Anolis sagrei: one gene and its partner. The protein of the gene in region 2 purifies or fractionates together with the protein of the main gene of each other region. This does not show direct contact. Links are inferred from orthologs where the notes say so. Each region holds a gene or a part of one and is shown on either strand. Other genes may lie near its edges.

Evidence for each region. Proteins that work in one complex are often made in the same cells at the same time.
Region 1: the proteins of KLHL6 (region 2) and NUDCD3 purify together in Homo sapiens (affinity purification with mass spectrometry; 3 studies listed by BioGRID and IntAct, counting the BioPlex papers as one, with this or other methods). This does not show direct contact. The link is inferred for Anolis sagrei from reciprocal best matches to the Homo sapiens genes KLHL6 and NUDCD3.

What each region holds. Positions count from the first base shown.
Region 1 is NC_090027.1:15,421,693-15,430,061, reverse strand, and holds the start of NUDCD3 (nudC domain-containing protein 3), read right to left. Parts: upstream 3,299-8,369; 5' UTR 3,168-3,298; coding exon 2,970-3,167; intron 1-2,969. Other genes in the region: PGAM2 (phosphoglycerate mutase 2), read right to left, coding at 5,648-5,817.
Region 2 is NC_090023.1:219,354,747-219,362,359, reverse strand, and holds the start of KLHL6 (kelch-like protein 6), read right to left. Parts: upstream 3,267-7,613; 5' UTR 3,194-3,266; coding exon 2,931-3,193; intron 1-2,930. UniProt on the Homo sapiens protein: Involved in B-lymphocyte antigen receptor signaling and germinal center formation.

The DNA.
Region 1 (8,369 bases), on a different chromosome or scaffold from region 2:
TTGTGGCACGGTTCACAGGACGAACTCAGTGCCACAAAATAAACATACAACAAAATATAAAAAGTTAAATTAATAACAATAATATTAACCCCATTACACATTTAAAAAAACAATAAAACCCCTATCAATTAAAAATACTAAAAGAACCAACAAGATATAAAATAGAGGCTATGAGCAATATTCATTCTCATAAAGCGCAACAATGATCACTCACTAAGTTTAAAAGTATAGTGATTCATAATCCCTAAACATGGTCAAACGCTTGTATTACGAGTGGCTTTCAAAGCTAAGTACTAATTGATTTAATTCATATCCACCTTTATTCCATAATGGCTTCAAAAATGGGCAGTTAAGATATTTATCATACAATCTAAAAACAATTGTTGGCAGAAGCTGGGGCTAACAGGGTAGTGGGTGTATAAACAATACATGTTATTAATAAACACATTACAGCTAACAGCAGGAGCTCACCCCACTCCCAGGATTCAACCCGCCAACCTTTTGGTCAGCAAGTTCAGCAGCTCAGCAGTTTAACTTGCTGCGCCACAAGGGGGCCAAAGTTGATAATAATAACAAAAAGAAATACAATGTGATCCAGGAATAAGACCATTTTCTCAGCTTTTACTACCTGACAGCGTTGACAGGGGGAATAATTATATCAGGTATGGGCAAACTTGGGTCCTCTAGGTGTTTTGGGCTTCAAGCCCCATCATTCCTAAACTGTGGGAGATGAAGTCCAAAACACCTGGCGGTAGGGAGGGCTGAAGTTCGCACATGCCAGAAGTATATTCCTAAGTATATTCCTTTACCATTGCCACCTTTTCCTGCTACCATGCTGTGGCCTTACCACTAGCTATCCATAGCCTGAATTTTACCAACCAGCCCCCCTTTGACCATCAACTTAGTACTGAAACTGGGCTTGGCTTGGTTTGAGGCCACTGACTTCTCTGCCTACACTCATCTTTCGACTCTGTTCCTCCTGGGCTTGAGTGGGGACTTTTGTTTTTGTTTTGTTTTCAGATTTTATTTTATTTACTAGCTGTACCCACCACGCCTTGCTGTGGCCAACTTTCTTCTCTCTCCTTCCTTCCTTCCTTCCCTTTTTACCTTTCATTCCTTCCTTCATTCTCTTCCTCTTCCCTTCCCCCCTTTTCTTTCCCTTCCTCTTTCTCCCCTTTCTTCCTTCTCTACCTATTCTTGGACTGCAACTCCCAGCAGTCCTCCTGATCGATCTACCTACCTTCCTATATAAATCTATCTAATCTGGGAGTTTCAGTCCAGGAATAGGAAATTGGAAATACGCAGCAATTGGGATGCTCTCAAAGATCTCAAAGGAGAATAAATCTTGCAGCTTGAAAGCAGTACATTTAGATCATCCTCTTCTCCTAAAGGGCCTGGTCTAGGGGATGCTGGGAGCTGTAGTCTGGAAGAGAGTGTGGATTTGCTATTGTGTGTTTTATTTGCCAGGGGAGTCATTTTTGTGCAACCGCTATAGCATCTTTTTGGTTTTTGGGCCTTTTAAAGTCCCTTCCGCTGTGTTTTTCAGTGTTTTTATGAGTGATGGTCACTTGTTGGCCTGATAGGTGTATTGTGTCCAAATTTGATGTCAATTTGTCCAATGGTTTTTGAGTTATGTTAAGCTCACAAATGAACATTACATTTTTATTTATATAGATTTTATTTTATGGAGACTTTTCTTAATTTTCTCACTGGCTCATGTTTATCACTGATGAGTGAAGTTAGCAAATATTTGTAATTGGTTTTAAATATTTTTAATGCTTAATATTTATTATAATTTATTTCTGAATGTTATTATGCCTTGTGTGGTTTTGGTCTTGTATTTTATGTCCATTGTGCTTTGATTTGTATTGTATTCTATTTATACACTGTGTATTTGCAATGAGGCACTGAAGTGGCCAAACTGTATGCCGCTCTGAGTCCCCTTCGGGGTGAGAAAAACAGAGTAGAAATATAGTAAACTAGCTGTCCCCTGCCACGCGTTGTCGTGGCCCAGTCTGGCGATCCGGAAAATAAAGTAATGAGGAAGTGTTGGTTTCGAATAAATGTAATTTCTTTATGCTTGTGGGTAAACAGTATTTTTTGCTGTTTCTTTGTCAGTGTTGATGCGGAGAGTGTCTGGTTTGCCTACTCTGGAACATGCAACGTATCATTGTCCTTCTTCAGGGGTCCCTTTCAAATCTATGATACTATATCTCTCTGTGTGTGAACCATATCTATCTATCTATATCTATGGCTGGATGGTTCTTTGTCAGGAGGGTTTTGATTACTTTTACTTGAGTTGCACCGTATAGCCCTAAGTATTTTCTGTTGGTCATGGGGGTTTGGTGTGCAAAGTTTGCCCCGATTGTGTCATTAGTGGGGTTCAGAATGCTCTTTGATTGTAGGTGAACTATAAATCCCAGTAACTACAACCCCCAATGTCAAGGTCTATTTCCCCCAAACGCCATCTGTGTTCATATTTGGGTGCATTGAGTGCTTGTGCCAAGTTTGGTTCAGATCCATCATTGTTTGAGTCCACAATGCTCTCTGGATGTAGGTGAACTACAACTCTCAAGGTCAATGCCCACCAAACCCTTCCAGTATTTTCTGTTACTCATGGGAGTTTTGTGTGCCAAGCTTGGTTCAATTCCATCGTTGATGGAGTTCAGAATGCTCTTTGATTGTAGATGAACTAAAAATCCCAGCAAGAGCAACTCCCAAAGGACAAAATCATGATTTTTTGAGTGATGGTCACTCCTTGTGTTTTGAGACGTTTTGTTGCCAAATGTGGTGTGATTTCGTTCATTGGTTCTTTTGTTTTTAAGGTACTCATTATGCACAGAGCATTTAGATAGATAGATAGATAGATAGATAGATAGATAGATAGACAGACAGACAGCTTGATTGGTAAAATATGATAAATAAGCAAAGGCTGGGTTTGGCAGGGCCTTGGGCCGAAGGAGACTCACCCGGAGGGCCATGCTCCTCGCCACCCCGGGAGGGAAGCCCAGCCGGTCCTCGGGCTGGCGGAGGAGGCGGTAGAAGTCCGTCTTGCGGTACAAGAAGCCGAAGAGGATGTTCAGGAAGCCCTGGACGTCGCCCACGTGCTGCAGGATGCCCAGCAAGGCCTGGTCGTACATGTCCGTCATGGCGCCGGCGCGCTCCATGGCCCCCTCGGGAGAAGGCGAGGCTCCCCGCCGGACAGCCCCGGCCTCTGCACCGGAAGAAGGCCCCACGCCCGCCCCTCCTCCCTCCCGCTGCCACGGTAACCTCGGCTCTGCGGCGCCGACGGAGCACTTCCGGCCCCGCGTCCGCTGGGAAAAGACGTCCGGAGTGACTTCCGCTCGAGCCAACCGATGGAATGGTTCCGCTCAAAGAAAAGTGGAAAGTGTAGAGTTGCAGTGGTTGAACTCATGGGCGTCAGGCTGATTTCCATCGAGGACTCCATCAGCCTCACGATTACCTTCAAAGGGCCGTTGAATTCATGGAGGGAGAATCCCTGGATACAAAGGGACAACTATATAGTAACAACTATATATATATAGAGCCAGGAGGACGTTGCCATCTTGTCCCCTGTGACATCGGCGCCCCTCCCCCAGCACCAACGGCCACTCTGGGGCCAGAATTGTTTTTATACTATGTCTTGAATTTTGTTGTTCCTATGTTGTACACCCCTGTGAGTCGCCTCTGGGCTGAGAACAGCGGTATATAAGCAAAGTATATATATATATATATATATATATATATATATGCACTGTATATATATATATACTGTGTATGTTTTATATACACACATACATACATGTGTGAGATATATATATATATCTCATACACACACATATATACACACACTATATATACACTAACACGTACATATATATATACACACACACATATATACACACACATACACGTATGTTTTTATTACCCTTACTTGGAAGACGCCTATGCGTGAATTTTTTTAACGCGTGGAGGTCATTGCACACTGATCAACACATAGTCTTCACAGAGTGAGGTTCCTTGGGTGGCATAGTTTACCAACATGACCGTGGCTTCTCAATCTTTTGCAGCCTTCTTCTGCCTTCACAGCCGTTGTAACATGTACATGTACAATGTCATCCTCCTTACTTGGATTTACTTTTAATTGGCATGTTTAATTTATTGTTTAATGAATTGTATGTGTTTCTAATTATTCTTAATGTTTTAAATGTAATTTTTAATTGTTTATATGCTGATAGCATTATATGATGCTTGAGTGAGGTCGGGGGGGGGGGGGAAGGGCAGGGTAGAAATGCATACACACACACACACATATATATATATGGCACCCCGGTGGCACAGTCGGTTAAAACGCTGAGCTGCTGAGCTTGTTGACTGAAAGGTCGCAGGTTTGATTCTGGGGAGCGGCATGAGCAGTTCGAAAACATGCAAATGTGAGTAGATCAATAGATACCGCTCCGGTGGGAAGGTAACAGTGTTCCATGCAATCACGCCGGCCACATGACCTTGAAGATGTATATGGACAACGCCGGATCTTCGGTGTAGAAATAGAGATGAGCACCACACCCCAGAGTCGGACACGACTGGACTTAATGTCAGGAGAAAACCTTTACCTTTTACCCTATATACACTATATATATATACACACGAACACATACATATATATACACATATACCATATACACATACATACATGTATACACACACATATATATATACAGACAAACATATATACATATACACGCACACATATACATCAGGTATGGGCAAACTTGGGCCCTCCAGGTGTTTTGGACTCCAACTCAGTGGCTGAGGGGGGAAAGGAAAGGGCCTGAGGCTGCTAGGTATTGTGGGCATTGGGAGTCCAAAACACCTGGAGGGCCCAAGTTTGCCCATGCCTGGTCTAGGCCTCCTTTTGGAGTCTGCCCGGATAATCGAACAGCACCTTTATGGACATACATTGTGGTTGGTGCGCTTTAGCTTTTGCCCAATTTGGATCCACAGGTGTTATTGAATGACACTTCCCATTGCTTTGGATTATTTGCCGTGCTGACTAGGGATAATGGGAATTGCAATCTCGCAGCCATTGTGGCTCTGAGATTGGGAAAGTTGAAATTACATTTTAAGGTAATGAGTCCTTTCCCCAAGCCTTGCATCCACTTTCAAACCTCATTCCCCGATTAAATAGAATAAACTATAGCCTTCCAGGTGTTGCTATATCACAACTCCCATCCGCTTTTGTCATATTTAAAAATGGGGACTGCAGGAGCACTCCTAAAGATGGGGAATATAGGAGCAGTTCTAAATTCTGCAGTGCATTCTATTATTCAATGTATATTTGTACTTTGAATGCAATTTATAAAAATGCCCCCGAACTACCCCATAAAACTGAAGGCAGTTCTTTGGGCACTGAGGACGAACCATGCATGTTTCAAATGAAGCAAGGATGCCATTGATGTTTCTTGCCATGTGCAAACTCAGTTTCCTCAGCTAAGACACATTCTTATTTCTTTCCCACTAATGTACATATAGCATGATGCTATAATCAACATAGCAAAATGTCAGCCACCCCTCTCCCTTGGCTGGACAGATCTCAATCACACAAGTCAGTTTTTCAGATGTTTTATTTCACCAATGCCTTGTCTTCTCACTTCTTGACCTTGCCCTGGGCTGCCACAGCTTCCATGGCCTTCCTCACGGTCTCTTCATCACCCAGGAACTGCATAGGCTTTGTAGGTTTCAGGTTGTCATCCAATTCATACACAATGGGAATCCCAGTCGGGAGGTTGAGTTCCATGATGGCTGCATCAGACATCCCTGAGAAGGGAGGGGTGGGGATAAGACACGTCAAACAAACAATGCCCTGCAGGAGCACCTCCACCTGTTCTCTCTCAAAACCAGATTTTGCAATAAGCTCACAAAATTGACTAGCATGCACTGTTTTTATTAGTGATAGTTTTTTGTGAAATACAAATTAGATCCCGGAAGCCTGAAGTGTACGTACACCTGAAGTGGTTCAGAACTACTGTAAAAATATTAAAGATATGAGATTGGGGCCGGAGGTTTAGCAAAGCTGGTAAATCATCAGCAATTATAAGATCTATCAACCAAAAGGTTATAAGTTCAACCTTTTTGAGTTAGCCTACCTCATTGTTTACCTAAACAATTTGAAAACAGCTTTAGCTGTGATTAGAGAAATTAGGTACCACTAAAAACAGGGGAGGTATTTTACGACACCATAAAGAAAAAAAGATCAGAAAATGCTGGGCAACCAAAAGGAAGGAGGAAGTCCTGACGGCTCTTCGGCATAAGAGGATAGAGGAACAGCACCCCCTGGACTCAAGCCCAACTTTCCATGGCACCTCCTTCTATTCTGTCTGTCTGTGTATTGTCTATACAAAGCGGCATTGAATGTTTGCCACGTATGTGTACTGTGATCCACCCTGAGTCCCCTTTGGGGTGAGAAGGGCAGAATATAAATAAAGTGTTGTTGTTGTTATGTCCTTTCTGTTAAACCAGTGGTTTCAAACCTGTGGGTCCCCAGATGTTTTGGCCTTCAACGCCAAGAAATCCTAACAGCTGATAAACTAGCTGGGATTTCTGGGAGTTGCAGACCAAAACAGCTGGGGATCCACAGGATGAGGACCACTGTGTTAAACCAAAGGAAGTAGTTAATTTTTACACACAGCTTCTGCTGAAGCCCTGCCATTGACCAAGCTAGGTAAAAGTAAAGGTTTCCCCTGACATTAAGTCTAGTCGTGTCTAACTCTGGGGGGGGGGGGGGGGGGTGCTCACCTCCATTTCTAAGCCGAAGAGCCCCTGTTGTCTGTAGACACCTCCAAGGTCATGTGGCCAGCATGACTGCATAGAGCACCGTTACCTTCCTGCACCACGAGATGCATAGCCAACCTTAAGAAATGGGGCTACAAAGTGGAATCCACGACATGCGAGTGTGGAGGAGAGCAAACCACAGACTACCTACTGCAATGCAATTTGAGCACAATGGAGGACCTTCTTGCAGCAACACCAGAGGCACTCCCAAGTGGCCAGCTACTGGTCAAAGATAATTTAGTATAATGCCAAGTGTGCAAACTTTGTGTTTTGTTTGTTTGTTTGTTTTTAATGCAATACAACTGTTTTGGTTTGCTCCTGACACAATAAATAAATAAAATAAATAACCTTCCTGCTGAAGTGTGACCTACTGATCTCCCATTTGTATGTTTTCAACCTGCTAGGTTGGCCAAAGCTGGGGCTAACAACAGGAGCTCACCCCTTTCACAGATTCAACTCCCAACCTTTTGGTCAGCAATGCTTTTGACACTAAATAAATAAATAAATGCATATTGCAAACTTGGTGGGAGGAGATGAAGTCTCGCAGGAAGCCATTAGGCTAGGACATGATGGGAATTGAAGACAAGCAGAAGTGGGTCACCTTGCCTGACCTCTACCGTTTGCTGCCTTTTCTTCCTCTCAAGCCTTCTTGGAATGGCTGTGACCTTTTAGGACAGGCCCATCCACAGAGGTCAGGGAAACAAAATCTCAGGGTGGAGGCAGCCGGGAGAAAGACTACCGCCCGGGCCTGAGAATAAGAAGACAGTTGCCAAGCCTGAGAAGGAGACCTCCCCTGCCGTCCTACCCTTAAATCTTGTAATGCAACTCCAGACTGGAAATAGCAACACAACCTTCAGCAGCCTGCGTGTCAAAGAGCACTGGGCTCTTTTATCAGCTGCTCAGGATTTTGCTTTGACACAGAGCACCCCATGTCGTCTGTCGCACTGCTGCTGACTCCATGTAAATTCACTGTCTGCTTATAGCCATTGATTTTTCACTAGTAAACTAGTCTTTTTATATTTTCACAAGCAAGAACATACTCCCCAGCTCTTCTTGCATATAGGGTTCCCTAATTTGAGTGTGAGCAGACCCTCCTTCTTTAATTCCATCTTAAAACATCTAGCAATACTATAATTTCATCATCATGTTTTTAGTGCAGTGTTTCTAAACCTTCCTAGAGCCATGACCCCTTAATACAGTTCCTCATGTTGTGCTGACCCCCAACCACAATATTATTTCCGTTGCTACTTCGTAACTGTAATTTTGCTACTGTTACGAATCGTCATGTAAATATCTGATATGGAGGATATATGTTCATTCACTGGACCAAATTTGGCACAAATACCCAATACGCCTGAATTTGAATACTGGTGAGGTTGGGGGAGGGATTGATTTTTGTCATTTGGGAGTTGTAGTTGCTGGGATTTATAGTTTGCCTACAATCAAAGAGCATTCTGAACTCAACCAATGATGGAATTGAACCAAACTTGGCTCACAGTACTCCCATGACTAACAGAAAAGACTGGAGAAATTTGGTG
Region 2 (7,613 bases):
TTGTACCCCGCTAGCATCTCCCGAAGGACTCAATGCGGCTTACATAGGCCAAGGCCTCAAAACACAATACAACAATACAATACCTAAAGCAAATTAAAAACAGTTAAGCAGAATAAACAACAGCAATAACAATACATCGAGACATCAAGACACTATAAGACTGGGCCAGGCCAGAGAAATGGGTACAAGATTAAAAGTGCTGATGTGGCAGGAGGTATGTAGGATTATAAAGTAAGTGCAGTGTGCAGTGATCTTGGTTCTACTAAAGTGCTTCTAGGACTTGGTATTGGGGGTCCCTAATCTGAAAAGGCACATCGGAACAGCCAGGTCTTCAAGTTCTTTCTGAAGACTGCCAGCGAAGGGGCCTGTCTAAGATCTTTTGGGAGGGTGTTCCAGAGTCGGGAGGGCCACCACAGAAAAGGCCCTGTCTCGAGTCCCCACCAAGCGCGCTTCAAGTCCATCAAGTCCAATAGGTTTTAACTGATCTACCCTAATTGGAACAGATGTTTTACATTGTGTCTGTGATTGTTGTTTATAGTTTTATGGTTTCAATGGTTTTAATCTATTATAATATGCTGTTGATTTGATACGTGATATTTTATACATGTAAGGTATTGAATTTTGCCATTGATTATATTGGGAACCACTTTGAGTCCCCCCAGGGGTAAAAGAAAACGGTATATAACTGCAATAAATACATAATAAATAGTGGATTTAGCCCAAGAAATTTAGCTAAGCATGATGTTGTGCCTTTCCTTGGGTAAATGATATATCAGGAAGACACAAGAAAAGGAAAAATTACAGGGGAGGGAAAGAGAGTAATGTTTACCCTTAACAAATACCTCTTTAAAAACTTATCTTCAAAGGAAAATAGGAAGAATAATAAAACCAAGTTAGAAGTTACCCAGCTAGAATGGTGTTGTCATTGATGTCATCCTTTGACCAATAGGTCATGAAACCTATCAGCATTCAGTAAATGAATATCTGAATGTCATATATGAGAAACAAGCATTGGGATATTACCATTAAAATTTAAAAAATACAGAGATATGCATACTGGTGGAGCAGTGGACTAAACTGCTGAGCTGCTGAACTTGCTGACCAAAAGGTTGGCAGTTTGAATCCAGGGAGCAGAGTGAGCTCCCGCTGTTAAGCCCAGCTTCTGTCAAACTAGCAGTTCAAAAACATGCATATGTGAGTTGATCAATAGGTATTGTTCTGGTGGGAAGATAACGGCACTCCATGCAGTCATGCCAGCCACATGACCTTGGAGGTGTCTAAGGACAATGCTGGCTCTTCGGCTTAGAAATGGAGATGAGCACCACCCCCCAGTGTCAGACTCGACTAGACTTAATGTGAAGGGGAAACCTTTACCTTTGCCTTTACAGTGCAGTAGCAAAATCATATGCTAGCAGCAGCAGTCAAAATCTTAATTAATTTGGACTTCCTTGGCAGGCCCGTAGCCAGGATTTTGTTTCGGGGGGGGGGGGGCTGAATTTTTTTCAGGGGGGGTTGGGGGGGCTGAGTTTCGGTGGGGGCTGAGTCTGAGTGAAAGAGGGTCTAGCCTAGCAAACCTTTTGTATTATTACCCCAATACCCCCATGCATATGGGATATATTGAGTATGGTAATCAGATCATGATATAAATAAACATAACAGTTTAAATAATGCACCAGTAAGGCCTTTTCGCGAACCACCATGAGAATTTGGGGGGGGGGGGGCTGAAGCCCCCCGAGGCCCCCCCCCCCTGGCTACATGCCTGTTCCTTGGGTAGACTTGGAGCACATCTACACTGACATGTATTCTGGGGTTGGCATGCTGTATCAGCTCCAATAAGTGTCCCCAAAGGATTCCCATAGCTGCCTGAGCTTCGAAAACACAGGATAGCAGTGGGGGCAGTTTTGGCTGGTTCTGTTTGAGAACGGGCCAACTGTCCTCACTAGCCCTAAACCGCGTTAAGCCTAAATTGAGGATAATTTTGGGTAGCATGGGACAAGACTGTGTTAAAATGGCTTTGCCCCATGTTACCATGAATCAGTCCCATCCAGCATTTGGCCACTGTATGGCTGATCCTCATCTATACTTATGAAGATTGACTGTTTAAGATACCATACAAAAGGCTATCTCTCTGACTTCTGATATGTTAAAATCATAGGTTATTGCTGAAACTAATTTGGAGATTATCTAATCTAACCTCTTCTTCAGTGCAGGATTCTTGCAACACTTGGCTGCTCAACAGTGGGAGGATGTAAGATGTTATAAGGCACTTAACTAGAAAGGAAGAGAGGATAGTATGGAACGATCAATGTCTGTTTAGTATAGTGCTAATTTTCATAATCAGGTATATAACTGCACAAACGTTCATAGAGATGTTTGCTGCGGAGCATAGAAACAACTTACCTATAAAAGTTCACAGTGATACCTAGAACAGTTTAGCATATTTCATTTTCACATCCAAATATATAAACAATGTTTCCGTCTTCAACTTCATAGACCCTACAGCATTAGCCCAATTATTACTATAATCAGAAGGGATTATTATTTTTTAATTATCTGATCCTTTTTCTCCTTGGATCCGCACAAGATGGGAGACTAAACACTTTTTCCCTTACTTTCCAACTGCTTTCTTATTTGACTGACTTCTACAGTTAGAAAGAAGAAATACCAATGAGCGTCCACTGACAAAAAGAAAAGCAACCTAGTATTCTTACTATTTGTTTTCCTGTATCCCTAAAAACGGAAGTTTAAACAGTCATAACATTTGGTTACCATCTTCTTCTAACACACTACCAAAGCATGGATACCTTTTCAGAAAACGGATAGAGTACAGGTAGGATATAAGCAAGTGTTGAAAAAAATGCTTACCTGTCTCATCACTTGCCTTTTTACATCCCAATACACAAACGTAGTTAATTTTCAGCATCTCTTACCTAAAGTAATTGCTTGCTGCTGCAAGGACCACACGGTGACATGAAAAGCTCATGCTGCCCACACACAAGGTGACATCGGTGAGAGAGTTTTCTAGTCGGAGGTTCTCCAAGCCGTTCTGCAGGACCATGGACAAGCCTGTGTCATCGAATTTAACCCTTTCATTGATGGAGACTTCCACAAGCTCTCCCCTGGTCTTGGAGCCCTCATTTTCCAAAGGCAACGGAGGTTCCTCCTCGAGGTTCTCCTTTACCATGTCTCCCATGTTTGGATCAGCAACAACAGCACATCACGCCATTGATGCTTCGATCTAAGATGGTTCCTGAGCTTCAGACAAGTCACGCTGCAGAAGTAAGGCAGATTTCCTGTTTGGGCCTCCCCACTTATCTACAGCTGTCACACACACATAACAGGAAGCCTTGCACTTTCTCATCCTGTCCGTACAAAGAAAGGCCGTTGGGTTGTTGTTGTTGTTTTAAACCTGCAAGCTTTTAAGACATCCTTGAATATCGGAAGATTTCAGTTCATATCTGAGAGCAGTGTTAAAATTGTTCAGTTTCTACAAGGTCTTAAGTTTATCCAGATATACTGTATTTCTTCAATTCTAAGATACACACTAATATCAGTAACACCACCAACAAAAATACTTAAGATGTGCCTGCAATTCCAAGACACACCCCATGTTTATATAGATAAAAAGTGTGGCTTAGAACTGAAGAAATACGGTACTTGACCAGCACGATAAAGCTGTTCATTGGTCATATTAAGACCTTTCAACAACCATCCTGGGCACATTTCTATGGAAGGAACAGAATAAAATTTAATTGTGTATTTGATTGTCTTAATTGCTGATAGGTATTGTCTTAGCACGGTGAGGGGGATTGTTCTTTACCATCCATCAGTCTGTAGGTATCAGTCATATTGTTTTGACTGATACCTACAGTGGCGCAATGGGTTAACCTTTGTATCGGCAGGATTGCTGACCAATAGGTCAGCATTTTAAATCTGGGGAGAGCAGGTTGAGCTCCTTATGTCAGTTCCAGCTCCATACGGTGACATGAGAGAAGCCTCTCACAAGGATTGTAAAAACATCAAACATCCAGGCCTCCCCTGGGCAACGTCCTTGCAAACAGCCAATTCTACCCATAGTCAGCCCTCCACATTTGCTGGGGTTAGAGGCACAATAACCTCGCAAAAGTGAAAATCATGAATTAAAAAAATGCTGCTGCCCAAGTGACCCTAGGAATTTCTAGGTCCTCCAGCATGACACTATGATAAATTTCCACTGGAACCTGATCATATAATTTCACTAGAAGACCTAGAGATTCCTAGAGATAATGTTTTAATCAAACCCATAAATAAAGTCAAACCCACAACTGTGGAATGGCAGCTAGGTTTAATTAAAAATGGAAAAATATACAGAATACAGGATGGTTAAGAATAAGGATTGGGTATAGGAATTTATATTCAAGTCAATAATAAGGATGAATAAATGTGCAAATGTGGACAGGGTGTGTTTGAAAGGACCAACCATCAGCTACCCTCATTAGACTGACTGGAGTGGATTTCAAACAGAATAATGTAGCCTAAAGGAGTGGTGTTATAAAGCTTTAACAACTGGATTTACTTCAGACTTCTCATTGTAAAATGACAGTGTTCTCCATGTAAAGTATAAGCGGTCAGCAGGCACAGCAGAATAGTCTCATATCTCCTCTTAGGTGGCTCTGCTACCAGTCAAAAGATATTCCACGTCGATTTCACCTTCTCCTTAAATGATTTTCTCCACTATGAAAAAAAGAGAGAAGATGCTATGGGAAAATATAGTAATGTTACAAAACAATGTCATCATCAGGACCCCTTTTCATGTCTGTGAGGTAGGACCGCAACACAACAGAACTATCATTTGGAAGAAGCACCCTATGTGTGGATGGATCCAAGATATTATTGTTGTTGTTGCCCTAATTTTCTGTAATGTTGGAAATTACAACCTTCTTCAAGCCTCCTCTAGTAATTTGTTTATCTACAATCCTGTTGCTTACTTATTGTATGTTTTGGTATGCAGCTTTCTTTCCTTGCTCTATGTTTTCATGAGAAGTTATGGGAGGGGCTGCAGACCACATGATCCTCTCTGGGACAAGCACAGAGTATAGACTTCTTTAGACTTTGGGACTGCTCAGATTGCAGACTTGCAAACACTTGTCTGCTGTTTATTATAAAAGATTTTCTGACCAGATGGCACAGAAACTATCTCAAACATATCTGTAGCTAATTAATAGGTTGTGTACCTGTGTATGCTGAACACATGAAGGTTGTGAGTAAAACCATTATTATTTTTTTTACCAAAGTCAACTTTATTTTGTCTCATGAGTGCATAATATAAAACAAGTTGTTTTATGGGAGAGTACATATATATTTTGGGCACTGAAAAATACTTCTGAAGAACTACAATTTTTCTGCACTGGCATATTCTGTGTTTCCACATATCAGAGACAATAGGTTATTCAGTCTAACAACTGAAGCCAATTGCCTTGCATATTTATATTTGGTTGTATATCACTTGAGAAGATTCTACTCAAATGGGTTTTTGGCACTTCTCTAAAAGGTTATGATTTCTAAAAGGTCATGCTTTTCTAAAAAGGCCAAATAGTGCATCTATGTTGTAGAACAGGGGTCCACAAACTTTTTAAACAGAGGGCCAAGTCACAGGCCCACAAACTGTTGGAGGGCCGGATTATTATTTGAAAAAAAAATGAATGAATTCCTATGCACGCTGCACATATCTTATTTGTAGTGAAAAAAACACTTTAAAACAATTCAATAATTAAAATGTTAACAAATATAAACTTATTCGTATTTCAATGGGAAATGTGGGCCTGCTTCTGGCTGATGGGATAGGATTGTTGTTGTTGTTGTGTGCTTTCAAGTCATTTCAGACTTAGGTTGACCCTGAGCGAGGGCCGGGTAAATGACCTTGGAGGGCCGCATCCGGCCCCCAGGCCTTAGTTTGAGGACCCCTGTTGTAGAATGAATGCAGTTTGCCATCAAATTAACTTCAATGGCTCAATGCTGTTGTTACTGAAAAAAGCCCCTCAAAATAGGAGGAGCCCTAGTTGCCTGGATAAATCACCTGGAGCGGTTTCCTGGTTGCATCTCTGGAAATTTTTGGAAAATCATACTAAACCTGCTTTTCCATCCATAAGTTAAGGGTACACAAGCATCACACGTCTTCCGACTCACACCTACACAACAGGCAAGGAGTGGCACCCAGCCTGGCTTCCCCAGCTCACCAAAGACCCAAGTATGACTTAAACAATCAGTCCATTAAGTTGTACACATCACCCTTTAGGACAAAAGGTTGATCTCATGACCCATCAGAACACTAAAATGGCTACTGACAAACATCTGGAAATCTCCTGGAACCTATATCACTAGGAGAAGCCCATCAGCTACCTCTTGTTCCCTGAACCCAGCCCATATTCCTTCCCAACTTCAGGTGGACACAAACGGACAGCAGTTTAAAATACATTCAATGACAGTTTATTAAAATTCCTCGCCCAATCAGCAGCTAAGATTCACAGACTCAGCCAATCAGTGGCCAATAATGGACATTTCACCTAATAAAACTGTGGATCCTGGAACTGCGCCTATCGTCTTTGTTTGTCACATTACCAAATGTGTATAATTCTCTTTATAATGCCCACATTTACAGTTGGAAAATGTGCTAGATTTGGGAATTGCTATCCCCCAATGTCCGTTCTGACCATTGCTGAATATATGGATTTCTGTTCCCGCCTTCAACCTGTGTGTGTCTCATTGGATCAATTGGGAGTTCTAGCACGTTGGGGAAAAGTCTGACAATATTGTGGAATCATAGGAGTTAATCGTTTGGTGAGACTGGGAGTCAGAAAGTCTTGGCTAGGGCTGATGTCTATCCAGATGGAATGTGGGGTGCATCTACACTAGAATGAATGCAGTTTGACCCTACTTTTAACTTCCATGGCTCAATCCTATGGAATCCTGAGAGTTGTAGTTTGGCGAGGCACCAGCAGTCTTTGGCAGAGAATGTTAAAGCCCGTGTAAAACTACATGATTCCATAGGCTTGAGCTGTGGAAGTTAAAAGTGGTGTCAGTTTGAATTAATTCTATAGTGTAGATGTACCCTGAGACAATTGACAGCAGAGTTTGGAAAACTTACTTTTGGAATTATAACACCTCCCCCCCCCCCCCCCCCACACACACACCATTCCTTAGATAGCCATGGCCCATGCTTGCTTTGGGATTCTGAAAGCTTTGGTTTCCAAGCCCTATTTGCCAGCCAGGTAAGAGTAAATATAGCACAATGAATGCTATGCATCCTTGATTAACACCAGCAAGAAAAAAAAAAGACCTGTTATGCTCTATGTTGCGGTCATTTCAATGGCTGAGTCATTTTTATGATGTCTTGGGGTCAAAAGCTTCTGTGACGTAGTTCTCCTAAGCAATAAAGTCGGAGGCAGGTTGCCACACAGAGCCTCAGAACTGAATGGAGAGTTTCCATACCTGGGCTTGCTGTCTCCACAAAACACCTTGTGCTTGGGCACAAACTTTCCATAAGACTGGAAGGACCCTCTGGACAGTTGCAATTGCTCCGAACACAGATTTTTCTGCATTGCCTTCATTTCACAGAATAATAATAATATCCTTAA